Linked DNA regions of Notamacropus eugenii. The protein of the gene in region 2 interacts with the protein of the main gene of each other region in a pairwise test. Links are inferred from orthologs where the notes say so. Each region holds a gene or a part of one and is shown on either strand. Other genes may lie near its edges.

The links.
Region 1: the proteins of XRN1 (region 2) and ZFP36 interact in a two-hybrid assay, tested with the Homo sapiens proteins (2 studies listed by BioGRID). The link is inferred for Notamacropus eugenii from reciprocal best matches to the Homo sapiens genes XRN1 and ZFP36.

Annotation. Positions count from the first base shown.
Region 1 is NC_092876.1:32,194,101-32,209,065, forward strand, and holds ZFP36 (mRNA decay activator protein ZFP36), read left to right. Parts: upstream 1-5,034; 5' UTR 5,035-5,150; coding exon 5,151-5,219; intron 5,220-5,863; coding exon 5,864-6,913; 3' UTR 6,914-7,666; downstream 7,667-14,965. Other genes in the region: PLEKHG2 (pleckstrin homology domain-containing family G member 2), read left to right, coding at 13,248-13,314, 13,448-13,752, 13,948-14,048, 14,706-14,772. UniProt on the Homo sapiens protein: Zinc-finger RNA-binding protein that destabilizes several cytoplasmic AU-rich element (ARE)-containing mRNA transcripts by promoting their poly(A) tail removal or deadenylation, and hence provide a mechanism for attenuating protein synthesis.
Region 2 is NC_092877.1:330,607,193-330,621,622, forward strand, and holds the start of XRN1 (5'-3' exoribonuclease 1), read right to left. Parts: upstream 6,694-14,430; coding exon 6,493-6,693; intron 1-6,492. Other genes in the region: serine/threonine-protein kinase ATR, read right to left, coding at 7,814-7,987, 12,910-13,015. UniProt on the Homo sapiens protein: Major 5'-3' exoribonuclease involved in mRNA decay. Required for the 5'-3'-processing of the G4 tetraplex-containing DNA and RNA substrates. The kinetic of hydrolysis is faster for G4 RNA tetraplex than for G4 DNA tetraplex and monomeric RNA tetraplex.

The DNA.
Region 1 (14,965 bases), on a different chromosome or scaffold from region 2:
AGAAAGGCGCAGTCCCGCCTCGTGGAGGCCAGGGGGCGCCAGAGGACGGCCATCTGTTGGAGGGCCCCGCCCATCTGATATCTGTATCTGCGCCTGCGCCTCCTGGGGTGGGGGAAGGTGGGGGGAGGACGCCCGAGTCTGAAAGCCTTGTCAGTTACACCCAACTTTTCCTCCCTTCCCCACCCCCTCCCGTCTCTCTTCCCGGAACCGTCTCTTACTGCCTGGATCTCTCTGCTTGGGACTGACTCCTGTTTAGATCTCTCTTTTCCTGGGACTGTCTCTGTCTCTTCCTGAGACTATCAGTCTGGTCTTTCTGTCTGAAGTCTCTGGAATTCTGGCTGGATCTCTCTGCCTAGGACTGTCTCTGGCTGGACCTCGGTTTCCCTGTCCCGGGATCTTTGTTTCTGAGTCCTTGTCCTCTGCCTGCGACTGTCTCTGACTGGGTCTCCGAGTTTGACTTTCTCTGCTCCGACTTCTGTCACTGCCGCGAACTGTCTCTGGCAGGATCTTTCGTTCTCTCCCCCTAGCCAGTTCTGTCTCTGGATGTAGCTAAGGCTCTTGCTGCCTTTGCCAGGGGGGTATCTCGAGCCCTGGATCTCTGTTCTCCCTCTGACTGGATCACTCCTCTCCCCGCCCCTTCTATCTCCTTTCACCAGGAAAATTGGGACAAGGATAAGTAAGGAGGAGCTCTAGGGTGAAAGCCTGGGTCCCTGAGAGGGGAAGGAAGGGGAGGGGGAGGGGAAGGGCTCTTGGGTCCTAGCCAGACCAGCTTTGCTGACACAGCTCCTGACTCACCCCAGGCTCCCAAGAGGAGGGAGGAAATCCCCCAGTTATATAATCACAGCTACCGCACCCCCAGTGCATATACCTGATCTTGGGCTAACCCTGGACACTCTGATTTTCCAGAGTAGGAGCCAAAGGCTGGATGCTTGAATAGGGAATGGAGGAGGGCCTGAGGGGATCCCTGAGGCAGAAGAGGATCACAGTTGGGGAAAGGAGGGTACTTCTGCTGGGGTTTCTAAGAAGGACCTCTATAAGAGGTCCTGAAACCCAGCTTCCTTGTGATCTTGGGCAGACTTGCACTTTCCTCCTCAGTCTTCAGTTTTCTCTTGTCTAATGAGAGGGTCTTGGCCTAAATGACGTCTTACATTCCTTTTAGGTCCCATGATTCCAGGACCCTGAAAAGGGAAGGGCGTCCCAGACTGGGGTGAGGGGGTGGGGAGGAGGCTTCAGTGAGAACATGCAAGGAAAAGGGAGCTGTGACGCCAGTCTCAAGTCAATCACCCTAACTTCCCTCCCTGCCTGCTGCTGGGGAAGGACCAGGAAGTGGGGACCGGGACCCAGGGAGGGTAGGCAGGGATTATGGATTTAGCCTTCCTCATCTTTACATTTCTCTTCATGCTGACCCTTCAGGCTGTCTGAGACACCTGAGAGTGGGGGGAGAGTTTCGGGCCCCTCATCTTCCTCCTCCCCTTGGGCTTGCCTGCCTGCGTCATCAGCTGATTGTGCAAGGGGGGGGTGGGGCCTGGACACCAGGGTCCAGAGTATTTTTAGCCCCAAAGGAGAAGTGAGAAGGGCGGAGCAGGTTCCTGCAACTGTGCTCTTGGTGGGTAGGGAGGGGAGGTGGCCTGACCTAGCCTCTCCGGGAACATCTGGGATCCAGCTGTGGTCAGCCCCTAGGGGAGGGTCCATGCCCTTCTGCCAGGCCTGGGAAATTCCTCTGGCCCCTTAGCCAGGGGTGGGGAAGACACCCAGACTAGGACACTTTGTCCTTTCCCCCTGCCTGTGGGGGGGAACACATTCAGTCATGAGGCAGAGATGTCACTGGGCACCATCAGAAGCCCTCAAAGGCAGGCAGACCCAAAGGGTCTTGGGCTGACACACAAACCATCCCCTCCTCCTCCCAGTACAATCCCGTGGGGGCACACACACATAATCTCATCTGAAAGCTACAGTGAGACACAATCTGTCACCTTGCCCTGTGTGTTCCTGAGTTGTCTGACACGCTTAGAAGGCTGCGATCCGATCATCAGTCACTCTCTTTTCTCTCTCCCTTCTCTCTCTCTCTGTTTCCATCTCTGTGTCTGTGTCTGTCTGTCTCTTTCTCAATCTCTCATTCTCTCAGGCCTTGGCGGTTTCCGGTCCTGGCCTCCCTCTCCCATGTTGTTCTGGAAACTCTGCCCACCTTCTGGGCCGGAAGCTTGATGATATTTTTAGATCTGCCAATTTCCGCCCCCTTCCCCTCCCCCTTCCCCATCCCAGAGGCCGTGGCCCCCAGTCCCACCCTTTCCCCAATCTCGTTCCAGAGGGGATTCCCAACAATGGTGACTGCCAGACTTCCCAAAATCGGGATTTTCCCTCTCACAGCTCCAAACACCTAACTTCCTGGCCTAGGAAGCAGAGGCTACCTGGGGTTTTAAGTATTCACAGGCCAGAGGAAGCCAATGTGGCTGAGGAGACTATGAGCCAACTCAAGTCAACAACAAACATCTACTATGTGCCTAGCACTGTGCCAAGTGAAGAGACAAAAAGCTTTTAATCGTAGATTCCACAAAGAAGGTGAGGATGCTCCCAATTCAAACATTAAGTGCTTACTGTATACACATTTCTATGCTGAAAACATCAGGACTGTCTTGAGGTAGAATGTGAGAGGAGGGGCCCCTCATAAGAAAGGGAAGGAATTTCAGGAGATATTGGGAAGGTGAGTAGATCTGATCTGGCCCCAAAGGCTAGGGGGTAGGAGGTTGTAAGGTCATCTGAGGGGTTAGAGGTCAGAGATCTGGTACTCTTAGCTGTCAGAGGTTGGGAAGGAGGGGAAAGGACTCCTGGAACCCAGAGATTTGGGAAACTTTGGAGCCAGGAACTAGTTATAGGCTATGGAATTTAAGGGGGTCAGAGGGTTGTGATGACCTAAATTTGGAAGGAGAGTGAAAACCTGAATCCTTGAGGGGAGATGGAGTTGGGGGAGTTAGAGGTCTGGGACCCTGGAGGAGTATATTTCTGCAAGACTCAAAAGGAGGGATGCTAGAAGAAATTTTTTCAAATGTCCATTTTATGTAAGGCTTGATGCTAAGCACTAGAAATATACTGATTTAAACTGATTGTAAAAAGGTAGAGAGGCCTGAGACCTAAGGGCGTAGATGCCAGGCTGGTGACCTGGTACTCCAAGGAGTCGGGCTAGATGGCTAAACAGCTAGGCCTCTGAGATCATAGATTTAGAGCAGGAAGGCATCTTAGAAATTAAGAGAGACACCCCCCTTTCCCTTTATAGAAAAAGAAGTAGGTCTAGTGAGGCTCCTGGACTTGCTTGGGTTCACCCAGCTAACAAGTGTGTGAGGGACAATTTCAATCTAGGTCTTCCTAACTACATGCTCAGTTACTTAGCCTGTATACCAAGTTCCCAAAATCTTTGAAATTATTATTGAATTTTTTTGTTTGGGGGGGGGGGGCTGGAGGATCCCTGGTTCCCTGAGGACACTAGTGAGGGAGTGAAAACTGTGGTCTTTGATTGAGACCAATTCAGTGGGGTTCATAGACTCTCCCTCTCCACTCTACCTCTAAAGCTGGGCCTAGACCCAGGAGCCTTGGTTCTGAGGCATGGTGAGGTAACACTCTGGTTTAGGGGGTGGAGCATGGGGAGCTCAGAGAGTCGTCAGGGAATGAGTCAGGAAGCTGGAATGTACCCACAAGCTCAGATCCCAAGAGAAAGACAAACCAATTCCCCTTAGGATGAGTGAAAAGTGGGGAAGGGTCTTGGGGAAGGACTTTCTTTCTGGGAACCTCTGAAGTGGGGAGAAGAGAGCATTCCATCTTCCCTATCAGGTGGCAGTGACCTTGTCTCTGGGTCCCAGTTTCACTTGTTTTGAGCTGAAATCAAGGCCCAGATCTGAAGAGCATGCTGAAAACTGAGGTTCCTCAGCTCTCTGTTTACAAGGAGAGAGGAACCCCAGCATCGGATCAGCTCCCCCCCCCCTCCCCTTACGTCACCTGATTCCAGGAAGGGCCCCCACACATACACACCCTGCGGTGGGTGAGTCACTGGGGAGCGTGAGAGCCAGCCACTATGCGCAGGTGAAAATTGGAGACCACAGGCTCACGGGACCCAAGGGAGACTTGGGGAGGTCCCAGCTCCTGGGAAGGTCCCTCCTGACCATCCCTCCCCTCCCCAGAGAAGCTTCCCACAAGTTCTAATCCTCACAGAAGTCTTCATTCTGGAAAATGAGCACTTGAAGGAGAAGCCTTCACTTGGGAAAATGAAGATTTCTGTTATTTTAAATGTGTTCGAGTCAGAGAAAAGCCCCAACACAGGCCTAGAATCAGACAGTTCTCCAACTAAGAGGCCATCTCCCCCAAAATCTGACTTTAGTGACTCGAGAAAATTTCTAAGAATGGTAGACATTGTCTCAAGAAACCTGACTTTGCCCAGTTCCCTTAGGAATTTGAGACAAATCCCTGCCCCTCTCTGTGCCTCAATTTCCACTTCTGGAAAATCTACCACTCATGATCTCCCAGCTTTCTCTTCTGGTTGTATTCTCTGGGGTTAGAGAATTTGTAAACTGGCGGCTTCTCCCCTTCTGAGTCTCTCTGTCCCTTGACATCTGGCTTTCAGGTCTTTAGTGCTTGACTGTATCTACTCTTGTGTCTGTCATTTCTGCCTCTGGCTCTGGCTCTGGGACCTTAATGGTGTTTCCAGTTCCTGACCTTCAGCTTCCCACATAGGTAAAAGGAGGGGCTTGGATCTGGGAAAGATCTTTTCAGGTCCTTTCTGGGTCTGTTTCCCCGTCTGAAAAATGAGGGGGGATTAGACTGGAAGACGATTGAGTTTCCTTCTAGGTCTTAAATCCTAGGAGTTGTGATCCAGTGACTGGGGGACCTCTAAGGGCCAGCTTTTCGCCCAGAGTAAGGTGCTGGGCCTCCCCCGCCCCGCCCGGGGGCACTCAGTCCGGGAATCGCTCCTCCCCCGAATCCTCCCTAGTCCCCGCCCTTTCCCGGTCCCCCCGCCTCCTCTGTCTCTAGCTTCTGGAGCTCCCCATGGGTGGGTCCTGGGCGGCACCAAGAGGCCCCTCCCCCAAAAGCAGTCCTTCAAGAGTAGCGCGCTGGCCACCCTCCCCACAGTCCTGGTTACGCGCAGAGCCAGAGCATCCGCAGGGATGGACGGAAGCGCCGTTGCAGGCGGGAAGCCCAAGTCCGCCGGCTTGGAACTATGCGCTCTCTACGAGGTGAGCTGCCCCCTCCCTCTCGCCCTACCCCTGCCTGCCCCCTCACCTCTCTGGAACCAGCGGACCCAGGTGTCGGCCGCCTCTGCCTGAGGTCTGGTTGGGAGGGCCGTGGCGCTGACGGCCAACGTTTCCCCTTTCGCTCAGCACTTCTGGGCACTGGGGTGCCACGGGGCTTTCTTGAGTGCAGATAGCTTGGCAGACTCGGAAATTGGAGTTCCCTCTGGGATCCGAGAAGGGTCCCTCTAGGATAGGGAACCCAAGTCTTGGAAGGGAGGTGAGGCTGCTTCCTCAGGGCATATGTGTGTGTGTGCGCCGGGGGTGTCTTGGGAGTAGTAACTGGGGTTCTTTAAGTTGGGGGGTTACTGGGGGAAACTTAATGATTCTAGTTTCTGAGCTGCCTTAGGGTGGAGTCAGTAGGGGCAAAGAGACCGGGAGACTGACGCCTGGGTCCTGGCCCTCACCCCCCCCCTTTTTAGGGTGGGGCTGAGTTTGGGGGAGTTCTCTAGAGCCTAGACCAACGCTTTAGTTCCCGGGCACTATCCAGGGGTCAGAAGTGCAGTTGGGTGGGGTTGCTCTGCTCTGCACGGCTCAGCGACCTTAGGTCCGACCGTCGATCCCACCCTGATCCTTCTCCCTCCTAACAGAAACTCCTGTCCCTGAGCCCGGAGCTGGCTTCGGCGGCTCGCGGAGAACTGGACCCCGACCTAGGCTGGGGCTCTCGAAGCCCCTGGAGTCCAAGCCTCGCAGATCTGGAGCCACCTTCACCCCCGCGGGCCCCGGCCTCTCTGGGTCCCCGGCTCCCAGGCCGTTCTACTAGCTTGGTGGAGGGCCGCGCCTGGGTGCCCCCGCCGCCGGGCTTTGAGCCCCTGCCGCCCAGAGCCGTGCCAGCCGTCAGCACCGCGCCCTCGGAAGTTGGTTCCACGTCCCCGGTCGGGGCAGCCTCCTCGTCCAGATACAAGACGGAACTTTGCCGGACCTTCTCGGAGAGTGGCAAATGCCGCTACGGCTCCAAGTGCCAGTTCGCCCACGGGCCTGGAGAGCTGCGGCCAGCCAGCCGCCACCCCAAATACAAGACGGAGCTGTGCCGCAAATTCTTAGCCATGGGCGCTTGCCCCTATGGAAACCGTTGCCATTTCATCCACTCTCCACACGAAATTCTGTCTGTGGTGTCGGGTCACCCGCCCCTCCTCCGCCAGAGTGTCAGCTTCTCTGGGATCCCCTCTTCTCGACGCCGGGGCTCTCCCACCCTGAGCCCTCCAGGTCTGCCGGACCTGCCTTCCCCCTCGGGCTTCTTCTCCCCTCCTTCCTCTCCGCCCCCACTGCCCACCGCCCCCGGGGAGGTCCCTTTCTCACCCTCTGCCTTCTCTGCTGCCCCTGGTCCAGTGCCCCGGGAAGCCACGGTGGGAGAAACCTGCTGTCCCTCCTGCCGCCAGACCACGGGAACATGGGGACCCACAAGGGATGCCCTGAGCCTGGGGCTGGGGCTGGGGCTGGCCCGAAGCCCTTCTGCTCACTCCCTGGGCTCTGAGCCAGATGACCAGGCCAGCAGTGGGGGAAGCAGCCTGGGGGGGTCTGACTCCCCAGTGTTTGAGGTAGCAGTGGGGGGCGCTTTTGCCCCCTCTAACTCACACCTCCTGGCCCTGACTCCTCCCCGGCGGCTCCCCATCTTTAACCGGCTCTCTGTGTCTGACTGAACACCCCTGTTACTCCAAACTTAACTGAGTAGGAGATCAGGAAGTTCCTCTCCCCCATTGCCAGCTGTGCCCAGATGTGGAGGTGCCTCATCTGCTTAGCCCCCAGAGCATTCACCCATTGCCTAGTCTCCCGGGGCAGGTCCCTATGGCGAGCAAAAACTCTCAAAGAGGTGTTCTGGGGGTGGGTTTTTAATGTAGCATACTGAATCGACATATGTGTGTATACATACATACATATGTACATATATGTGTATATATACCTACATATATGTATGTGTGTATATATTACAGTGTGTCCCCAAAGTCTTAATTCAGTTGTAAGCATTACTAGGTTAAAACTGTACTGTCTTTGAGACACCCTGTTAAGAGGGGGGTCAGAATAAGAGATACCCCCCCTTTCTTCATGCTGTGAAAAGGCTTCCCCAAGTCTCCCCTGGATGGGGATCTCCCCAGCCCTGGTGCTCAAATCCTACCTAACCAGACCAAATCCAAGTCTCCCTGCCTCACCTGGGGCCCCTTATTTATGGTGACGACATTATTTATTCCTACGGGTTTTATAGTATTTATATATGCAGTCGTTTCCTCTCCCTTTTGTCTAATATTGGGAGGTTGCTGCCACTATAATATATATTTGAAAGGTTATTATATATGTGTGTATATATATATAGCTAAACAAAAAAGAAATCTCTCTATTTTTGTTTTTTGGTGGAGTTTGTTTTTTAATTAAAACTAATACAGTTCACAAAAGAGTAATCTTATGTGTGAAAGGCTGTCTTCTTGTCCGTCTCCTGAGGTTCAGGGGTGGGGAGGGCTGTCCTGAGACCTAGGGGGCCGGTCTAGCTGGTTCCTAACTCCTCTGGCCCCAGGCTAGGGCGGTTCCAGATGAACTCACCTAGGAAAGGAGGGCACCCCCTCACCTGAAGAGGTGGCCCAGGTGAGGTCACCAGGAAGGACTGGGGGTGGGGAAAGGGATTGACTACAATCTTAATAACAAGCTCAGAAAAGGTTGTCCGGGCTCGGCCTCCCTGCTCTGCTGGCTGGGTCCTGAGTCCCTCTCCACAACGCCCATTTCTTCTATCTTCCTCCGGGCTGATACCTGCCCTCCATACTTGCTGTTCCCATCCCTCAGCCTTGTCTGTATCTCTTTGTCAGTCTCTTGCTACAAGTTTCAAGGGGTTTCCACCTTCACCCCTCTTTCGTCTCTCATCCCAGCCTTATCTCTAGGGCTGGCGTGTCTGTCTTGGAGGGTCTCTCTGACTTGCCCTCCCTCCTGAGACTCTCAGAAGCGTCTCCTCGGGTGTCCGAGGGATCCCAAGAGGCTTCTCGGGGCCTTTGGGGAGTCCGTGCCTCTGTCCCTGCCCTCCCGGTGATTCAGGAACCTCGTGGTCACATGAAATACTGGTAAAGCGATGAACGAGCACAGCGCCCAGCACAGAGGCGCTTCATAAAGTCCCCTTTCCTGTAACTCTGGTCCTTCCCGGTCAGTCTGCGCCTCCGTCTACTTCCTGGTGTCGAAGCGGGGGTTCCTCCCTTCCCCGTCAGCCAGTAGACTCTGGTGGAGCGCCTGCGGCGTACGGGTCCTGCGCCAATAAAGGCTGGGCACAAAGGCAGACGGCACCTGCCCTCCGGGAGCTCCCAGTCTAACCCACCGACGGCGGGGGAGGGGGTGAAAGGGTGCGGGGTCTCTGCCCGTCCTCTTCGCTCTCCGAGGCCGTGGGTGGGGACGGGAAGTTTCCGTCTAGCTGGGGAAGGAGCATGGGGCGGGAGGGGGGATGGGGACGGAATGTGCCCCTGCCCAGGCTGGGCGGGAGGCTACGTGTCAGTGACGCAGGGGTGCGTGTGTTTGTGTGCGCTTGTGCCCCGGAAGCCCCGCCCCGACTCTGGGGAGGGGAGGGAAGAGAGGGGCCTCCGATGCCCGTATAAGGCCTGAAGGCCTCCCCGGGGGCGGGGCCTTGCGTCAAGGCCGCGGACCCCGCCCCTTCATCCGAGAGGCTCCATCGGGACCCTTCCCTGGGCCTCCTGTGACCTTCGGCCTCTTCTTCTGGGAAACCGGAGGGGGCGGGGGAGCGAGTCCCAGAAACGCTGGGGTCTAGAAAGAGCCCCGAGATCTGATACGAGGGGACCGAGTGACCCTCAGGGAGTCCATCACAAAGACCGTGGCTGCCCCCTCGCGGCCGCCGTGCGGAACGGCACCTCGTCCAGCCCGCAGGATCCCGGGAGCGCAGGAGCCCGAGGCTGCGAATTCACGCCTAGCCAGGACTCATAATTCTCTATTAAATTTCAAATATAAAGTGGGGGAAAAAGTCTGTGCTCCAGGTGAGGATCGAACTCACAACCTCGGCATCGCTACGGCCGCACTGCTGTATAAGTACCGCGCGCTAACCGATTGCGCCACTGGAGCTTCGGCGAAAGTCCCGCGGAGCGGGCCCCTTCAGGCTTATCCACGTGACCCTTCCTCTCCCGGTTCTCTTCCTTCTTCGTTCGTCTACTCGTTTCTTGCGCCTGCGTGACGTCACACGTGACGTCCCTTAGATTCCTCCCCAGAAACTTCTCCGCCGCTCTCTAGTGTTCAGCGGGCGCATGCGCACACCCAACCCCCGCCCACATCCCCATTGCCCACATTACAGCTCGCCCCTGCCCCCTGCCGGCCAATGAGAAAAACGCCCTTCTACACCCTGTCGCCACTGGCTGAAACAAACCTAGGACGGGGGTCGGGAGCAAGGAGTAGTGCTGGGATGTCCAGGTTTAGGGGACGGAATTGGGTGTTCGGGTGCCCTTCGTCCTGCGAGTTGACAAGTAAATGGGAGGTTAGGGTTGCCTGGAGGCAGGTTGCCCCTAGACCTGACTTAAACAGGGGCGCTTGGGATCCTTCTCCCTCCTTATCTGTGCGGTTGTCCCACATCCCCGAGAGTTGGGCACCCGCCACGTGGCGGCCCCGGGCACGATTTGGGATTTCGGACCTCTGAATCTGAAGGGAAAAAAACCACCGCAGAATTCTAGACTCTGATGCTCCGCCCCCGATCCTCTCCCCCCTCCTAATTACTTTGTATTATTTTTGAATAAGTGAGATGTTCTGGCAGTGATCTCGGCTCGGTCCCTTCACTAGAATGCAAACCCCTTCCGGGTGGAGACTGGAGCTGTTTGTGTCCCCTAACCCCTGGGTACTTAGCGATCGATTACCCACCCCAGGCTGAATGAATGGAATTAACGAGGGAGGGTTTTGTGTAAATTTCAGAGGTGAAAACGGAAACTTCTCTTTCCGCCCCGCGGCGGCTATCTGGAGACCTTGGCGGGTGCTCGGAATTGTTCCTGCCTTATCTCCGAAATTACTTTGTCCTTTCTTATCTAGTGACTTTTACTCACCTCCCTCCCCTGTGTAATCTCCCGGTGAGCCTGGATGATTTCCTATATTTTATAGGGTCAGATCTTTGTAGAACCAGCGCCTACCACAGTCGGTGGAAAGGTCAATACGCACGGGACACTAAGCTAAGGTTATAAAGGAAAGCAAAAAGTCCCGGTCCTCGAGAAGCTCACAATCTAACGGGGGAGATAGACAAGGAACCAACCAATGTACGCAAGGAAGCTCTAACCAGGATAACTAGGAAGTCACAAACAGGGAAAACTCTCGAATTTGGAGGAATTGGGGGATTCTTTAATCAGTCCATTATCTAGCTCTCAGGGAGCTCAACTGCCATCCTGATTTAGGGTTACGAAATAAATGCCAGGTGAGGGGGAAGGCAGGAAAGCATTAGCCACTAGGAATCTTGCTACGTAGAAAGCACAACTTTTGAGTTGTGAAGGAAACTAGGAATTATAAGATCCGAGAATGACAGCGCCCAGCCCGTAGTAGTTGCTTAATATCTTAAAGTTGGTGCTGGTCCTGATCCATAGGAAGCAAGCTGTCAACTGTACTAAAACTTAAATTCTTAGAAATCCTGGGTTCGAGCCCAGCCTCTTCCAAATAGGGGAAGGGTGATCCTGGACAAGTGCCCCCAGCAGCTATGGGAAGAAAGAAAAAGGAATCTTCGTAGAGGCTGACGGAGATGGATGAGACACAGAGACCCCTGGGAGATACAAAGAAACCAGTAGAGATGCTCTGGAGGGATCCAGCATGACGGACTGAGGCTCCAGAGGTTCCCCCCCCCCCCGCCCCCCACCCTCCGCTAGGCAAGCTCAGATCAGGTCTGTTCAGTGACTCAAGGCTGGGAACTGGGGATCGGAAGGGGGGAGTCCCAGGTCCCTCCTCCTCCAGTTCCCACGCTCTAGCCCCGGGAACCCCGGGCTACAAAAGGGAAGCTTTTCCAGCTGTTGGAGGGAGGAGGGAGCCTCTGGATCCTCCGCCTTCCAACCACTGCACCTCCAGTCCAGTCTGGGGCTGCCCTACAGCCCGAGAAAGGGGGCGGGTGAAGGGGCCTAACTGGCCCCCTCCTGGCTGGACTTGGCCCAAGCTGGGGTAGTGGGCGAGGTGGTGAATATTCATGAGGCATGTTAACCCCCAGTGGTCTGGCTAGGTTTAACCCCACCCTCTCCCGAGTCCCCTGCAGGCGGGAACAGGATGTCTGGGCGGGAGGGGGCGGGGATGGAGAGGAGGGGGCGGGGAGGAGCCAAGCCCCCCTGCCTGCCTGCCTGCCCGCCTGCCTCGTCCCCTCCTCCCGGCCCACAGCTGGAGCCGGCCCCCCTCCCCAGATGTGGCGCCGCCGCCGCCCCCCGGCCGGGCCCGGCCCAGCGCCCAGGGACTGACCGACCCACGGAGGGAGACAGACAGACAGACAGACAGACTAACGGCTGGCCGTCAGCCTCCCCGCGGTCCTGCCCCTGCCCTGGAGTGTTCCCTCCTAGCCCGCTCGGACCTCCGGCCAAAGTCGGCCCGCCTGGGCCCCTCGGCTGTCCCCGGGACGGACACTCCGGCCCCCTCGGGTGGCCCCGCTCCGACTCCCCTTTCGGACACGCGCTGCCGGCTGCTGCAAGCCCCGGTCCCGCAGGGGTTCCGGGGTCTTGGGCCCCGCCAGCTCCCCTGGAAGAAGGTGAGATCTGGGGGGCGGCAGGGGGGAGGTGGCTGGAGGAGGCGGGGGAGGCGTAAAGGGGAAGCGGAGGGAAGCGGGGGAGGGGCGGCTCCTGCCCGGGAACAATGAACAGGGGGCGAGCTGGCGGGCGGGGAGGGGGCGGGGCCGGCGCCGGACCCAGGAGAGCCCGGTTCCCCCTTCCTCCCGGGCCCCCTTCCTCCTCGGCCCCCTCCTTCTCCTCTCCTCCCAGAACCAAGGGATGGCTTGGAAGTCGGCTCGATCCCTGGGTCCCCTGGGTGGACGTGGGGACTAGACTTCCCTAGTGCCTCCTCTTAGATTCAGAATCCACACCGACATCCCTGCCCCCCCACCCCAAGCCAAGATCGGGGACCTTTGTGCAGATCCAGAGCCCAGACACATTCCTCTCTGTCCAGATATAGGCTTCTCCAGTGTTCTGGCTCTTAGAACTGATCCCTGGGGATCTTGGAGGGGGCAGACATAGGAAGTCCCTTAAATCGTGTCTTGATTCCAACAAGAAAGGAATGGTCTATTCATCAGGGCTTGAGTCTGGCTCCATTCTCTGCTCAAAGGTAATAATATGGCTGGGGTACAGCCGAAGTTTATGGTTGGGGGCTTGTGTTCACTTCTCAGAATCCAGAAACACACCAAAGGAGACAAGAATCAGAGAGATAGGGACTGAAAGAAAGACAGAGGGATGGAAAGAGGGAGGCTCAGCTGGGACCCTGGCATCTTGCCTTACAGCCTCCTCTTTTCCTTTTCCCTGGGGACCCTCCAAGGCTCCCGCCCCCGCAGCTTTTCCCAGCCCCTCCCCCCAGACACACACTGCCTGCCCCCCCTCTTTTCCTCTCTCCTCTCTGGCCCCCTCTCCCTTCCCCTCCCCTCCTCTCTCCCTTCCCTTCTCCTGTCTGATCATGAGGCAATTTATTTTCTCCTTCAAAGGACAGCAGAATAGAAAATAGAAATCTTACTGTCTATCTCTGTCTATTTCATTTTCCCTTTCTTTCCCTATCACAATCTCTCCTTCTTTCTCTCAGTCTCTTTCTCTCAGGGTCTTTCTCTTTTCCCTTTCTTCTGCCCAATTGATTCCTCCCCTTCCAAAGGCCCATCAGCTCCTCACTCCACTCCCAGAGAGACCTTGATGAGGAGGGGAGTGTGTATGTATGTGTCTCTCTGTGTCCCTAAACCTGTGTGTGTTTCTACTCATCTCTGCCCTAACCTTCTAACCATCTTATTCCTCTCACTTTCTTCAAATGTCAGTGGCCTCTCTCCTTTCTGCTGCCCCCAGGACAGTGCTTTGAGATCTGCCAGCCATGCCTGAGGGAGCTCACCGTCTTACCAAACCCAGCCCTACCCCAAGCCCTGGGTGTAGCCACCGAGGTGAGAGGAGTGGACAGATTATGGCAAGCATGTTTGTGTACCAGATGATGGTGCAAGGGGGATTGTTTGAAGGGGAGTGTGTCAGATGACCCTGGAAACCTGCTGAGTCTGACCTGGTCATTTCTTTCAACAGAACTTCCCCCAACTCTGCCCATGGCCTCCCCCCGAGGATCTGGAAGTTCTACATCTCTGAGTACTGTGGGCTCTGAGGGGGAGCCTCATCCAGGCCCCAGCCCAGGCCCCAGCTCCAGTCAGGCCTGTTCTGTGCCAGCCCTGGAGCCCCCACCAGGTCCCCCCATCCGACTGCACCTGACTCCCGTGGGGCCTAGAGGGGAGCCAGGGCAAGGGACCAAGAAGCCCTCACACTTGGAACGTGTGGTCCGGGAGATTGTGGAGACAGAGCGGGCTTATGTGCGGGACCTTAGGAGCATTGTGGAGGTGAGGGGGGATCCTTCCTCAGACTCCCCAAATGGAAGACCATCCGGGTCCTCCAGAAAACTCTTCTCTCCTTTAATTCTCCCAGAAGCCCTCTTGGGCCCATACCTTGTGCTTTCAGCCCCCTCCAGTTCCTACCCCAGCTATCAACCTGGCTTAGGGGTAGGGGTATTGGAGACCTGGGTTTCTTCCGTTCAGGACTACCTGGGATGTCTGGTGGCTAATGGCCCACCTGGGCTGAATTCAGAACATCTTGGGACCCTCTTCTCCAACATCGAAGACATCTATGAGTTTAGCAGGTCAGAAGAGACCCAAATGTCTAGGAATTGTGGGGCACACTGCCAGGAAAAAACCACTCTCATCCACTTAGACTCTCATTAGAGTTGGTCTCTGGACAGAACTCCTCTTTTAGCTTATGGGGATCATGTTACACTGTAACCCATTGTCCCTTAACAATGACATGAAGCTAGATAACATACTAGGGCTGCTCCATTTTACAGATGAGAAAACAGGCTCAAAGACATGAATTGATTTGCTCAGGGTCATACAGCTACTAAGTGTCTGAGGAAGTATTTGAACCCAGGCCTTTCTGACTTCAATTCCAGCACTCTAAATACCATGCTAGGGGGAGAAGGACAATCAGGGCCTCTATAAATGACCTTCCCATAAGATCCCTTCTTCCCAGGAGTTAATATCAGCTCCAAGAACTGAATTCCTGGACTCTGGATCTGGGGGGAGCTGGTATAATTGCCACTTGATTCAGGGGTGACAATATGTCTGCCTGGGTCTTGGTTCTGAGGCATGGGTATAATGACTCTTGAATATGGGGGTGCAGAGATCTCAGAGATTTGGGAGAGGACAAAGGGACCTCCCTTCAAAATGGGGGACCTTTTCTCACAACCTGGGGGTTCCTGTTGTGACCCGGACCTCCCCTGTCCCCACTCCCTGCCCTACAGCGAGCTCCTAGAAGACTTGGAGAATAGCAGTAGTGCCCATGGCATCGCTGATTGCTTTGTTCAAAGGGTAAGCAATGGTTAGATGCTAGCAATACACACTCATTGGGAGTCGGGGACCAAGAGGAAAGGCAGGTCCCCAGAACCCTGGGAGGGGGTAATCCTGAGAACAGAGGAAGGGGATTGAGAAGGGGCTGGGATTCCAGATCTGTGTGTGTGTGTGTGTGTGTGTGTGTGTGTGTGTGTGTGTGTGTGTGCGTGTG
Region 2 (14,430 bases):
AATTGAGTGACCACTGAATGAACATACAATGATACCACACACACACACACACAGACACACACACACAGAAATAAAATACACCCAGTCAATTATTTTGGTCTTAGTTGACCTATCCATACAGAAGCAACTGTATTCTAGCAGAGGTAAAGAAGAGGAATGCAACCGCAAAGATTGGTAACACCTACCAAAATGTACATTAAGGAAATTCTCCACTAGTTTAGGGGCTAACAATTCCACACAAAGACTATTTAATGAAGAACTGACAAGTAGCAGATTGTTGGTGATCCTGAGACTGGCCATTTATAGCTCAGCAGAGGCAGATTCCAAGGACGTTAGCCGATGTGGCAGGGAGAACAAAAAGCAATCTTACTCATCACTGACCTTTTTTGTTCCTCTCTGGCAGTTCAATGTCTCAGCTGAACACCCAGAATGCATCTTGCGTACATGTTCCTTTGGCTTAGGAGGCTCTGAATCTTTTATTACTTGATTAAGGGCCTACTATTTGTCAGACATTGTTATCAGGCACAGGGAGACAAAAACAAAAGAAAAGCCCTGGGCCTAAAGGAGCTTCCATTCTGTTCTTCATACCAGGTACGCCACCTCTCAACTTTGGAACTGGCTCTCTCCCCTTTGCCTCATAGAACCTGCCTCTGCAACTCATGCATCACCTTCTACGTGCAAATTTGCCTGATCCCCACAATGTGAATGCCCCCCTCCCCCTTCCTGCTTTGTAGTTATTCTCTTTCTATTTACTAAGAGGCAGCTTGAAATAGTGGATAAAGAGCTGGTCTCAGAGTCAGAAAACTATGGATTCAAGTCATATCTGTGATACATGCTGGCCTTAGGAGCTAGGCCAGTCACTCAACACCCTAAGCAATTCTCTAAAGCTACAGAGCAGGTATAAAATGGTGGAGTAAATTCCCACACAGGAGGAATTACATAATTCCAATGAAATAGATCTGGTCTGATCCCCAAAATTTACTGATCAATGTACTTCCTTCATTTATTGTCTCCCTCGACTAAGCCTGGATTCCTTGGAAGTGGGGACTGTTTCATTCTCTGTGTACCTATCTGTAGCATATTGCCCTATCTCCAGCATGTCGCAATGTGCCTAAGCTTAAGAGGAAGCACTTCATGCTGGCTGATGGTTTGGTTCCAAGGTGAGCAAACAGTAAATACACAGGAAAATGAATATAAAGAAAACACAAAGTAACAGAGGGGCGCGGGGAGGAGGAATGGGGGCCCTAAGCACACCAGGATGGGAGAAGTGGCAGCAGAAAAGCCTTGGGCAGGAGGAGGCTTTGAGTTAGCCTTGTTCAGTATTACACGGGGTCTGAGGCCACATTTGAACTCCGGAAGATGAAACTTCCTGACTTCAGGCATGGAGCTCTATCCATTTTGGAGAAAAGCTGGGATTGGAAGAAGTACAAGTGACCACCCCAGGCACATGGCATGTAGGGAACAGCAGGAGACTCTTCCTGTTCCGGTGCATTTTCTCCCTGGAGCATATGCTTCTCCTTTCAGCCTGCTGAAATCCTTCTCTTTCTTCAAGAGCCTGCTCAGAAGCCATCTTCCCAAAGTCTTCCCTCATCCCTAACTTTCCTTCTCCCTCTCTCCTCCAAGATGGGGGTGCTGGGGTACTGGAGAGAGGGTGGAAAGCAGAACCAGAAATTTGACTACAGAAGAGAAAAGTGAATGAAAATGACTGGACAAGAAGTCTTGACAGGACTTTGGGGGAGTGACTGAAAAATGTGATAGGTAACAAAATTATTTCAATACAGTTACGAAATAAGGTTAGTTGGTTGTATTGACATTTCATGTTAAGTTTTTAATGAAACTTTAAAAAACAGTACACATATAGTGTATTAGTCCATAAGCTCTACCAAGATAGGGACCATATCTTATTTAAACTTTCTATTTCTGGCTGAGCTTAGAATAAGAGTGAGCATACAGTAGGCACTTGATAAATGTTTGCTGAATTGAATTGTCCTTCCTTGTCACATTCGTGTGTGTGTGTGTGTGCGCGCGCCATATTCTCCCAATTAGATTGAAGGGCTTCTAGAGAACAGGGACAGCATTATTTCCCCCATCCTATTTTTGTACCTAGCATGTACATAGTGAGTGCTTAATAAATGTTGAATCTGATTCAGGTGACAAGCTACTGCCAGAAATGCAATCTCTATTTTAGCATTCAGAGGAAAAATTACCATCATCACCACTACAACAAAAAACCCGGAAAATCTTATTGAAGGACTCTAGAACATCAAACTCACTATGCCCCAAAATGAATTCTTTTGTCTTTCCACACAAACCAACTCACAGATTTCTGTGAGGAGTATCACCAGTTTTTCAGTCACCATACTTTTCCAGCTCAGTCATTCCCTCCTTCCCCAAATTCAATCACTTTCCAAGTCTTGTTTGATTCAATCACCATCACTTCTTAGTATCCTTTCCCTTTTCTCCTCTCACATAATCTCCACTAAAGTTTAGGTCCATATTTTTTTCCCTTTGCTAGTTTACCTTCCCTTAAGTTAAGGTTTGACCACCAAAGGCAGGATGACATGGTTGATAGAGACCTGGTCTGGAGGTCTGGAAGCCCTGGGTTCAAGTCTGGTCTCTGACACAGGCTCTCTTACTGAGGATAGGTTATGTAGTCTCTGTGTCTCAATAAATTGTGGAGCAGTTTCAGTTTTGCATTGGTAGGAGTTTCCTCATTGCTAATTGACCTATGTCAAAGAAATCGAAACCCTCCAAAAAACAAACAAAAATAAACCCCACAGGTCTATGTCACTTTCTTCCTCAAAACGCTTCAGCCCCTCTCTGCTGTGTACAGTACAAACTCTCCTGCCTGGCATTTAAAGTTCTTCACATCTGGTTCCAATCAAACTCCCTAGACTGATTTCTTATCATTCATCTTTCACACTTATGTCCCAGTTAAACAGGCTGATTTGTTTCCCTACACATTCCCTGCCATTTCCTGACTCAGTGCCTGGTTACCTTGCACAAAATACTTTCCCTGACCATCTCTGTTAGAATTCCTGTATTTCTTCAAGAAGGAGGTCTCGATCCTTGTCAAATGATCTCTTCCTCCACCAAATTACTTTGTATTTACTTTTAACATTCTATAGTTACTTATCTGTGTATATATTACGTCTTCCAAAAGAACATAAGGTCCTTGAGAAAGGGATTACTTCATTTTATCTTTTATTCCCAGTGCCTGAAACAGTGTCAGAAACGTAGAAAAAGTGCTCAATAAATGCTTGTTGAATTGAACTTACTTTTAGCAAGCTACTTACCCACCGCTAAACATCATTTCCCTCATATGAAACCTGAGGGGTTGGACTAGATCTTAATATGTCCCTTCTAGGGATAACATTCTATGATTCTACCTGAAGATCCTGGCTCTGGGATTTTTAGTTCACCGCTTTATTAATCCTTCACTTGCTTAATGATCTCAGAAACGGAAGCACTTCTTTCACTAATGCAGGTCTCTTTCGTAACTTCTTATGCTGTGAGATTCTCATGCACATCCTTTTGTAAATCCTTAACAGATGTTTTGTCATTTCATGGATATGAGTGTAACTCCTGGGCTGCTACATGACTGGTGACATTCCTTTACTCATCATATCTGTCCTTGAAGATATCTTTTCTGCCATTACTTCTGCATAGTCACATTGGTAATAGGCTTTATAACACCTACTACATTGAATAACCTAGATAGAAATTATTGCAATATTATTCAATGTGTTGAAACCTATATATAATGTATTCCTAGAAACAATGACATGAGTGTTGAGAAGGAAGTTATGATTTTAATATTAATTGAGATGTGTAATGAATACACTAATTACTTAGTTTTCTCAAGAGGCGCTTCTCTGGCTTGGGAGTCAGAGCTCACAATTCAGCTTGAACTGATCAATCAAACCTTTGACAATGCTCACAATCACCAGGTCTTAAGTGAATCGAATTAAGACTTGTAGAACCTGTTCCCTCCCTAGGGGAAGTGATCATGACCCCAAAAGACTTGACTCTAGAATTGTTGTATCAAAGGATTTCTTGTGGGAAACCATTAAAGGACTGTTTGTGATCCACCTTCCCCCCCCTTTCCCCACCTGTGATGTATATAACCTGTGCTTTTACTTCAGTTTAGAGAATATTTGTCACTTGGAAATTAATTAATTAAACTACTACTTGATTGCTGGCATGCCTGTCTCTAGGCAGCTCTAAGCATTTGGAGACTGAGTCAGTAAAAATCCGTTAACAGTGTGCTTTAAAGACATAATAGGCTTCAGAGGTATAAACAACTTTGGAAACCAGAGAGCTCAACCTCTTCATTTTACTAATGAAGAAACAGTCAACAATTCAGAAATTCAGCAATTAAATGGGGAAATCTGATGGAAACAAAGACCACTAGCTGAGAAGTCAGAAGAGAGAGGTTTAAGTTTTATTTTTCGTCTCCCTCACCCCCAAATATACCCATCCAATAGTAGGGTACCGGTTAAATTAGACTACATGGTCTCTGAGGTCCCTTCAAACTTAAAATTCTCCGTAGAACCTCCTCTTAAAAATGGTAAACAAAACCATTCACTGTATCAATTGTAGCTGACACCACAAGTAACTTTCTATGCTAGCAGTACACCATTTCTTAACAGAAAAAGAAGTGTGTTTTAACTCCAGCATCTGGAACTTATACAGACGATTATATTTGACCGAAATTATATAAGCCTTTATTGTAGTCTTTGTTTATGTCATCGTGGTGTGAATATCCTTTCAGTTCTGCTTCCTTTGCTCTGCATCTGTTCATATGAGACTTCCCATGTCTCTGAATTCTTCATGTTATTGCACTATGGTGCTATCATATTCTATTTATATATCACAATTTGTTTAGTTATTCCCCAATCAACAGGCAACTGCAGACTACTATAATCAAGTCCTAATTGGCCTCCCTGCTGTTCTCCTCTCTCCAATTTAGCCCCCACACAGCTGTCTGGTTTTTAAAGCCCCGCGCAGGCTGGCCCTCCCCCGGCCGGCCCCCGCGCAGGCTGGCCCTCCCCCGGCCGGCCGTCCGCGCCCCGCGCAGCCTGGCCCTCCCCCGGCCGGCCCTCCGCGCCCCGCGCAGGCCGGCCCTCCGAGCCCCCGCGCAGGCCGGCCCTCCCCCGGCCGGCCCTCCGAGCCCCCGCGCAGGCCGGCCCTCCCCCGGCCGGCCGTCCGCGCCCCGCGCAGGCTGGCCCTCCCCCGGCCGTCCGAGCCCCCGCGCAGCCTGGCCCTCCCCCGGCCGGCCCCCGCGCAGGCTGGCCCTCCCCCGGCCGGCCGTCCGCGCCCCGCGCAGCCTGGCCCTCCCCCGGCCGGCCCTCCGCGCCCCGCGCAGGCCGGCCCTCCGCTCCCTCTCCACTCCCGCGGCGTACTCCACGACGCAGCGCTACCGGCCTCCCCGCTGTTCCCGGAGCGAGCTGCCTTCCACCTCTCCGCGGCTCCTTTTCACTAGCTTTCCCCCTTGCCTGGAATGCTGTCCTCCCCGGCTTCCCTCAGGCTCCACCATATTACGCAAGAAGTCTTCCCCAAGCCCTAGGATGTGCCGGCGCCGGCCCGCACTCGATCCCGTGTATTCCCCGTGTATTCCCCGTGCACGGCGGCTGGCGGGCGGTCTCCCCAGCAGAATGGGGATTCCTGGAGGGACTGGCCCGGTTTCGCCTCTCTAGCGTCGTGCGTAATTTACACGTCGACCTGACTCCGGTCAGTGGAGTCTGCTCGCGCCGTTCCCCCGGCTCCACAGACTCCGGGGCTCCCCTATACCTCCCGGGGCCCGGGCACCATCCCTCGTTTCCACCTGTCGCACCCACCGTGGCACAGCCCGGCCCACCAGCAGCGCCTGCCGCCTGACCCTCCCCATCCCTCCGGCGGGCGCTACTTTTCTCCAAATTCGGCTGCAGGGGCCCTTCCCCACCAAGAGTCCCCGAGGCTCTGGGATGCCAATGTCCTTCCCCCACTCTCCGGTCTTCTGGGCACAGCCGCCCCCCCCCCCCCCCTCCGAGAACGGAAGCTCCTCGGGGGCAGGAACGACTCGGCCGCCCCGGAGCCCCCCACGGGCCTGCCCCGGCTCTTTAACAGACGCTCGGCGCCTGACGCAACCCGACGGGTCCATTAGGAAGACTAAAGACTCCGCCCCTCTCCCACTTCCTGAAGACAAGGCTCTGGGAAGCGGGTACGAAGGGCTCCTGGTGGCCCCCTCCCCCGGCCCTTCCCTCGGACGCGACGAGTCGGACTTTTGCCCCCTAACCCTAACCCCCGCACGCCCCGACGGGGCCCCGAGCAGGACACCCTCGGGGCCGAGCCCTCCGCGGCCCGGGCCAAAGTCCGGCAGCTCCAAAGTCAAACGGAAACAAAGGGGCCCGGACCCCGACGGCGCGATCGGCGCCGCCCGTCAAAGCCCCCCCGCTCCGCCCCCCCCAGGCCGGGCGCGGGCTGAGGGGGAGCCGCCGCCCCCACACACACCTGATGCTCCTTCACCACCTCGCTGAGGCAGGGATAGCGCTCTGAGATCCAGCGGTAAAACTTAGGGACTCCCATGTCGACCGTCACCGACCCTGCCAGCAGCCGCCGCCAAACCGAAACCAAACCCCCCGCCCGGGCCTCGGCCGCCGCCTCCGCCGTCGCGCCGCCGATGACAACACAGGCCCCGCCCTCCCAGACCATAGAGAACGCCGCGCCGCCGCCCGCCGGGAGCCTAGAGAGGCCGTGTCCGCGCCCCTCCCCCCCGCCTCGCGCCCGAGCCTCTGCGGGCGGCCCCCCGGCCCGGGCAGAGGCGGAGACTGGCTGAGGGCCAAGCCCTAAAAGGACGGGGACTCGTGGGGGCTAAGAGCCCTTGAGGGCGGGGCTTCCTAAAGGCGGCGATGGGGGCGCGCACGGGTGAAGTCTCGTGCCCCGCCAAGGCTGGCCCCAAGGGCGGCAGGCGCCGGTGCCCCCCCCACCCCATCTCGGGCCAGCTGTCTTCCCGATGACACGCACTTGGGGCCCCGGGCATGGAGGCATCAATGGGCATAACTCGGGGCACGTGCCCCATCCACCACGGTGCCAGCAGGCGCGCAGTTCTGAAAAGATTCCCGTTTGGGCTGAACGTAAACCACGTGGCTCACTCCAGATCGGGGGCTTCTTTGGTAATTTCACTTTTCCGTTGCTTGTGAATCATGCTAAACACTGGAAAAAAGTGACTTAAAGATACACGAAGACCATCGAGTGAGGTTTGTAAGAGGCTGCTAGAGGAACGCGTGCCAGTGCTGCCCGCCGCTCCATCTTCGACTTGAATTTTCCGTGGGGAACATCTCTCAGAACCTTGTTCACACAGGTCCGCAAATACCCACTGTTCCTTACTTGCCATGGGCATGCCACACAAACCACGACGCACTCAAGAACTGTCGCGTATGCCAGTCCCAAACCCACGGTTATCACACGGTGGTTCTACTGAATATGGAAGTCTGGGACAGACCTGAAACATGCCCAATGTATTCACGCCAAGGTTAGACTCGAAATACTGTTACAGTATCATTTTAGACAGATGCCTTCCCCCCTTGTGTATATACAGGGATAATGCTATTTACGTGGTTACAATACATATTTTTCTAAAAAAATTTACATCTGAACGTGTAGTTTTATTTTTGTAGTCCTTTAACAACTGAAATAACATTTTCTGAGAAGAAAGTATAGCAAGTGATCTAGAACAGTAATGAATGCAGGTGGCAATCCGGAACTGAATCACTGTAATAACACCACCTTGGAGTCCAAGCAGAAGGTGTTAACTCGTAACCACAGCTCCATTTCATAAATACGGAGTCCAACCAAGATACATCTGGCACAGCAGGTTTTCGTCAGTTGCTTCTTGAATGAGGTGGTGCACGTGTCCTTCAATGGACAAAGGCAGCCCGGTTACTCTGTTCCTAGCTTTGATTACACCTCGAAGGCGCTGCTCGATGTCATGGACATGAGTCTTGGCCTAGAAATGAGAAAACAGAAATAATGTCTACACGTTAAGGTATGGATGACTATATTTTTTAATTCCTCAAATCTATTCCTCAGCTTCTTTGCTTTGTTTTAACCATTTTTGGTCATATCAGAGACCAACACTTTTTCTGGAATGTAGACAAGAAAGGAAAAAAGAGGAAGATACATTTCAGAAGTTTAGGGTTTGGGCATGGATTCGGACTCAGTCAGTAAACATTCATTAAGCACCTAGCTGTGTACAGAACTATGTTGTAACCACTGGAGATAGGAAGAAAAGGTAAAGGGCAGTCCTTGGCTTCAAGGAGCTCACAGTAGAATGATAGGCAACATGACTTGCAAACAACTGTGTACAAATAAGCCACATGGATGGAGGACATGTTAGAAAGAAGTAGAAAGAAGACACCGGAATTAAGAGGGATTGGGAAAGGCTTTTTGTAGAAGGTAAGATTTTGGCTGAGACTTTGAAGGAAGTCAGAAGATGAAGATGAATAGGGAGAGGATGCCGCGCATGGGGGACAAGACAAAAAATGCCCAGAGCCAAGTGATGGACTTCTGTGTCTTCTGTGAGGAACAGAAAAGAAACAGTGTCACTGAATGAAGTGGGGGGGTGGGGGTGGGGCAGATTATGAAGGGCCAAACAGGACTTTTTTTGATCCCAAAAGTAATGGATGGGAAGTGAGCAAGGGTGGGGGAGATGACATGGTCCACTTTGCACTTTAGGAAGATAACTGTCAGCTGAGTGGAGGATAAAAGGGAATGGGGAGAGACTTGAAGCAGGCAGACCCACCATCCAACTATTGCAATAGTATAATAATAAGGTGGGGAAGGTCTGTACCAGGGTGGTGGAAGGGTCAAAGAAAACGAGGCACAAGAGATTGGAGGATGACACCTACATTTTAAACCTCAGTGACTAAAAAGACAGCACTGCCCTCAACAATAATAAGGAAGTTAGGAAAGAAGTGGACTTAGAGGGAAGATAGTAAATTAAAATTTTGGACATGTTTAGTTTAAGATGTCTACAGGACAGATATCCAGCTTATGATGTCAAATAGGCCGTTGGAAATGCAAGACTGCAGGTCACACCAAAACGGTCAGAGCTACATAAATAGATTGTGAGTCTTCAGCATAGAATAGATAACTGAATCTGGGAGCTTTAATTTCTACCTCATGTATCCAACTCTGATTTAATGCTACTTTCTAGACTGTTTGGGGAGATGTGAAAAACTACAGATTGGGACGTGCATGAACTCCCCACACTTCCAAAAGCCCATTCATTAAATAAGATGTTCAAGATAACTTTCTAAGAAATAAGGGATGGTGGCAGTTCGGTGAAGGAATGAAGAACCTGTTTATTGAGAGACAAATGGTGCTTTGACAAAACTTTCATTCAACAATTATTAAATGCCTCCCTGTGACCAGTATATCATACTGTCTTATATAAAGCTTGAGTGTATACGAAGCTTTAACTCTGGGGATTTCGATTCTTCTTGTGACAAGTTAACATGAAAAGAAGGTACAGAGAACCCTGGCACATAAAGAGGGTGGAGGGTTTCAGAAGAGATGGAGGTTCCAGACAAGAAGACTCATGTTCGCTGTGACAACAGTGCTATCTGTGGAACTTTCTTTCCAGCCCAGAGATCTGACTTTAAAAGTCAGGTGACTTTAACTTTGGATTTTGAGTCTTAAAAGGCTACAGCAACCCAATGAAGTGGACATTTTCCTAGACTATTAAAACATCAAGTCCTATCTGTCCTTCATATTATCATCTTATAGAAATTAATTTTGTTTTCCATTGTGCTAAATATACAGTTTTAAAGAATTCTTTCATGTTTAAAACTCAGTTAAAAATTTAAGTGGAAACTTCATTATATCCTTTCAGTCACCATTTATTAGGTGCTAATGTGAGGATATGAATACAAAAATGAAAGTCTTTGCCATAAAATAATTTACATTCTACTCAGGAGATAACATGTATACCGATAAGTAATAAAAGGCACTTTGAGGAAGAAAAGAGTACTAACAACTGGGGGATATGAGACAAAGCTTTGTGTGGAACATGGCACCTGGGTTAAACTTTCAAGTAATGGAGATTTTAGGAAGGAGAGCATCCTGGGCAGGAGAGAGAGCCTGTCTGTAGGCATGGAGACCAAAGATGAAATAACAAGTTTGTGGAGCAACTAGTAGGCATGTTTGACAAGGAGGTAGAGGGCATGAAGGGGAATGATATACGCTAAGTTTGGAAGGGTAGGTTACACTTTGAGTGTGGAAAGCTTTAAATGGTAGGTAGGCTAAAGAGTTTGTATATTATCCTATGAGCAGGGAAGTGACATGGTCAGAAGAAATATCAACTTGGAAGTTATGAAACTGTACTCTTTGGTCTACTATTAAGCATATACCCCGAGGAAGTCAAAGACTTCAAAAGAAAGGACCTAAATGTATGCGAGTATTTATAGTAACATTTTTTTTGCTTGTTTTAGAAATAAGACACCCATCAGTGAAGGAACAGAGGAGGAAACTGGTATAAACGTGCAATAGAATATTGCTGCACTTTATGAAATGACAAATGACTGATTGAGAGAAATCTGGGAAGACTTGTATGAAATGATAAAGAATATAAAGTTCTGAAGGGGATAAACAAAAATTTTGCTACTGCTTTGTTAATTTTATTATACAAACATTTTGCATTATGTAAAAGCTCATAATTTCATATATAGTCTTTTTGTTTTTCTTTGTATATTGAAATGTTTGATGATTGTTAAATTTGTAATTTGAAATGTCAATTTGTTAGTGATTGTTAAATTCATAATCTGAAATGTTAATCTGGGAACCACATGGAGGATGTATTGAAATGAGGAGGCACTAGAAGTAGGGAGAACAGATAGGAAGCAGTGACAAACTGACCCAGGGTCATGGCCATATGGAATCTAATTTGCATATTCTTTTCAACTTTCCATGAGCTTGGGAAATTTTTGGTCAAGTTTTTCATTCATCATTTTAAACAACTATGAGCTGTCTAGTTTAATTTGTGTCTGCAACTTTTTTGGCTACATAAATGCTAATGATATAATCAGCAATCATGACAGAAGTCAGTATATGCAGCATTCACAAACTTAACAATACCAAAGAACAGAATAGTGGCTTCTCCCATTTATACGGTGCTCTGAGGTTTGCAATATGCTCTTGTCACAATCCCTACGTGAGGAATGTAATGCCGTGTTATCCCAGATTAAGAAAACTGTTAGCAGAAGGTACAGTGGAGAGAGTGCTGGAATAACAAGAGGAAATCAAAGCCGTGTGCCTCTGGACAAGTCATTTCATCTTTGCCTCAGTTTTCTTACCTGCAAAACAGGAGTAATCAGCACCTACTTTGTACAGGGGTGCTGCGAGAACAAAATGAGAGTGTCTGGGAGGTGCTTGCAAACCTTGAATGCTAAAGAGATGCTAGTCATCATTATTATGATATTACTGTAAAAATGAAGACTGAAGCACACGTTAAGTGGCTTGCTGAGGGTAGTTAAGGTGTTCTAGGTGAGACTTTAACTGAGGTTATGTGACTTTGATAAGGTAATCAAGTTAAAATGTACTTATAGTTCATGATTACTGAAGCCTATAAGGGAGGTAGTCTGGTATAGGGGAAAGAATGCTGAACTAGCAGCCAGACTACCTGAGTTCAAGTACTCCTTTTTCACCTAGTACCTTTGTGACCCTGGGGGAAGTATTATAACTGTTCAGATCCTCAGTTTCTTCATTAGTAAAAAGTGTATACACAGCAAAGTGGCATAGTGGATAGAATGCTTAGTTAGGCTGGAGTCAGGAAGACTTGATGGGGTGCTTGGATGCCTGTGCTTAGATCCCAATTCTAAAATCACATTTCTCTTAAAAAATCCTATTTCTCCCTAGCCTCAAAACTATCCCAGTCAGTTTCTCCCCAGCCCAAGGACACAGCCTGCCCCAGCAACAACTGTTATCTCCTTGCTATAGCAGCCAGCTGCACCTACAGAACTTATTAGTCTGAACCAGCTGTGTACTGGCTGAGCTGGCTGTGCACTGGGTCATAATGACATTTACTTTTACTACCCACTGACCAATCATATGTATCCTAGACATAGCCATACGTATACTCTCTTACATTTATCTTGTCTAACAAGACGTTGATGAGAATACCCTGTAATTTCTTGGTCATCCCTGACCATTAGTTAACTTAGTTTCCTTTCAGGCCTAAAACTACACCTCCAGGTAGCCCCTGCCTTGGGCTATTTCCCAATGAATTCTGGGTAAAATACCTGTGCAGCAGATACCAAAAGTGCATGTTCCTTTAAGAACTAACCACTCCTTAGCCACTCCCTAATCCCACCCTGAATCACCCACTTAGTATATCTGGCCTATTGAATATCCTATTACCTGTACCCCTCTAAAGTTGCAGGTTCCCTAAGAACTCTTGCCCGCTGAAAAGCATAATTAATTACCTTGACCTCAACAATGCTTGAGTCCGTGAATTCTTCTCCAGGCAGCGCACAGCAGAGAATTCCAGTTCTGGAGTTCCTGTAAACCCCCCTTCCCCCTCCAGCCCTCATCAGACTCATCTTCCTGAGTTCAAATCTGGCCTTAGAAACTTACTAGCTGTGTGACCCTGGGCAAGTCACTTAACCCTGTTTGCCTCAGCTCCTCACCTGTACAATGGAATGGAGAAGGAAAAGGCAAATCACTCTAGTATCTTTGCCAAGAAAATCCCAAATGGGGTCATGAAGAGTTGGACATACAGGAAATGACTAAACAATGACAACAAAAATTCATTTCCTATCTCATAGAGCTGTGAGGATCAAATGAAATGATACAAGTGAAAGCATTTTGTAAAGTGTAATGTGTTATGTACATACAAAAGATTATCAATCTCCATAAGTTATATCTTCTAACCTTTTCGTTGACAACTTCCCCTGTTTCATTCAGTTGTGCTTTTGAACTCCCTTTTACTGGTTTACTCCACTCCACAAGAGGATCATGAATAAAAGTCTTTAAGACGCTAAAAACAAAAACAAATATTCTTAGTAGCATAGACAAAATATAAATTCTATCAATCACAAAGACACAGAAACAGATAATTTGAACATTATTCAACAGATTTCTAGGTAATACTAATTTCAAAGTGATTATCAGGAGCCAATTATAACATCAGTACAAGCAGACACACTGTAATCTTTCCAGTAAAGAAATGAGTGTTTTTTAGGAAAGGAGAAACTTAGAATGCCCAACAGAACAAGGTCAGAAAAACCCAGAGGAAAAAGTATGGAGAAGTCAGGTAAAAATTAGAGTAAAAGTTTTCAGCAAGACCAGCCACTTCTCTACCTCTTTGCCAGTAGCCTTTCCACCTGGAAATCCTGAGACCTTGGGGCCTGCCCTCCCTAGTTCAGAATGACATTTCAGGAGGGAATTCAGTTCTCTCCCAGCTTGACTTACTCCCCACACTTCACCTCCCCACCAAAATCCTTATACCTTCAAATCCCTGCTTTCTAGCTTCCCTTTATGACTTGTCTTCCCTCATTAAAAGTTCCTACCTTGAAGGTAGGAACAGTCTCATTTGGTTATACTTTTATCTCGTATGCTTAGCACAGTACCTGGCACATAGGAAGTCCTTAATAAATGCTCTATCTTATTGATAACTCAAAAACATTTTTTAAAATGCCAAATAAAGTAGATCAGTAACTAAGAGAGAATAACAAAAAGGAACTCTCATAAGTAACTGTGATGGGGAAAAAACTTGCCAAGGGGGCACCCTGTCAGCCACAGTTTCTCTGACTCTTCACCCTTAGCTGAGAGTTAAAGTTGAGCTGAGGGTGTGAGACTCCTTGCTGCAGGGTGGAGGCTTCATCTGGCAATAAGATGCCTCTGAATGTGATGATTACCACCTTTGGGCTCAATATGGGTGTGGCTCCAGCAGGTGTGAAAGGCTTAGAAGTTTTGTAGTCTTTTGTAAACTAGCCTTAGAGGAGTCTGTGGCTTGGTGGTAATTCAATCTGAACACGACAATCCTGAACAAGAGAAAGTTTAGAAGTTAAGATTCTGCTGTGGGCAATGGAGGAGAGAAAGAAGCAAAAAAAGAAAATGTTAAAGCAGGGAGACTAAGGAAATGAGCAAACAGGAAAACTACTAACATACTGAAGGAATCCCAGGATAACCCTGCAACAACTACAAGTAGAAACCTAGAAAATAAAAATAACAGAATTTCATTTTGTAAAAATTTTATTCAACAACAACAAAAAAATTACCTACATCAGTTCTGAGAGTGGTTGGAAGCCCTCCTATGAGGATGAAGAAAGATAGATATGAAATTAGAGCTCCTGCTAAGGATAATAAAGAGCTTGGGACAAAAGCTATAAATACCCTAACCACATGAACAACTTGGAAAAAGAATGGAGGAAACACAAGTAAAAATTAAAA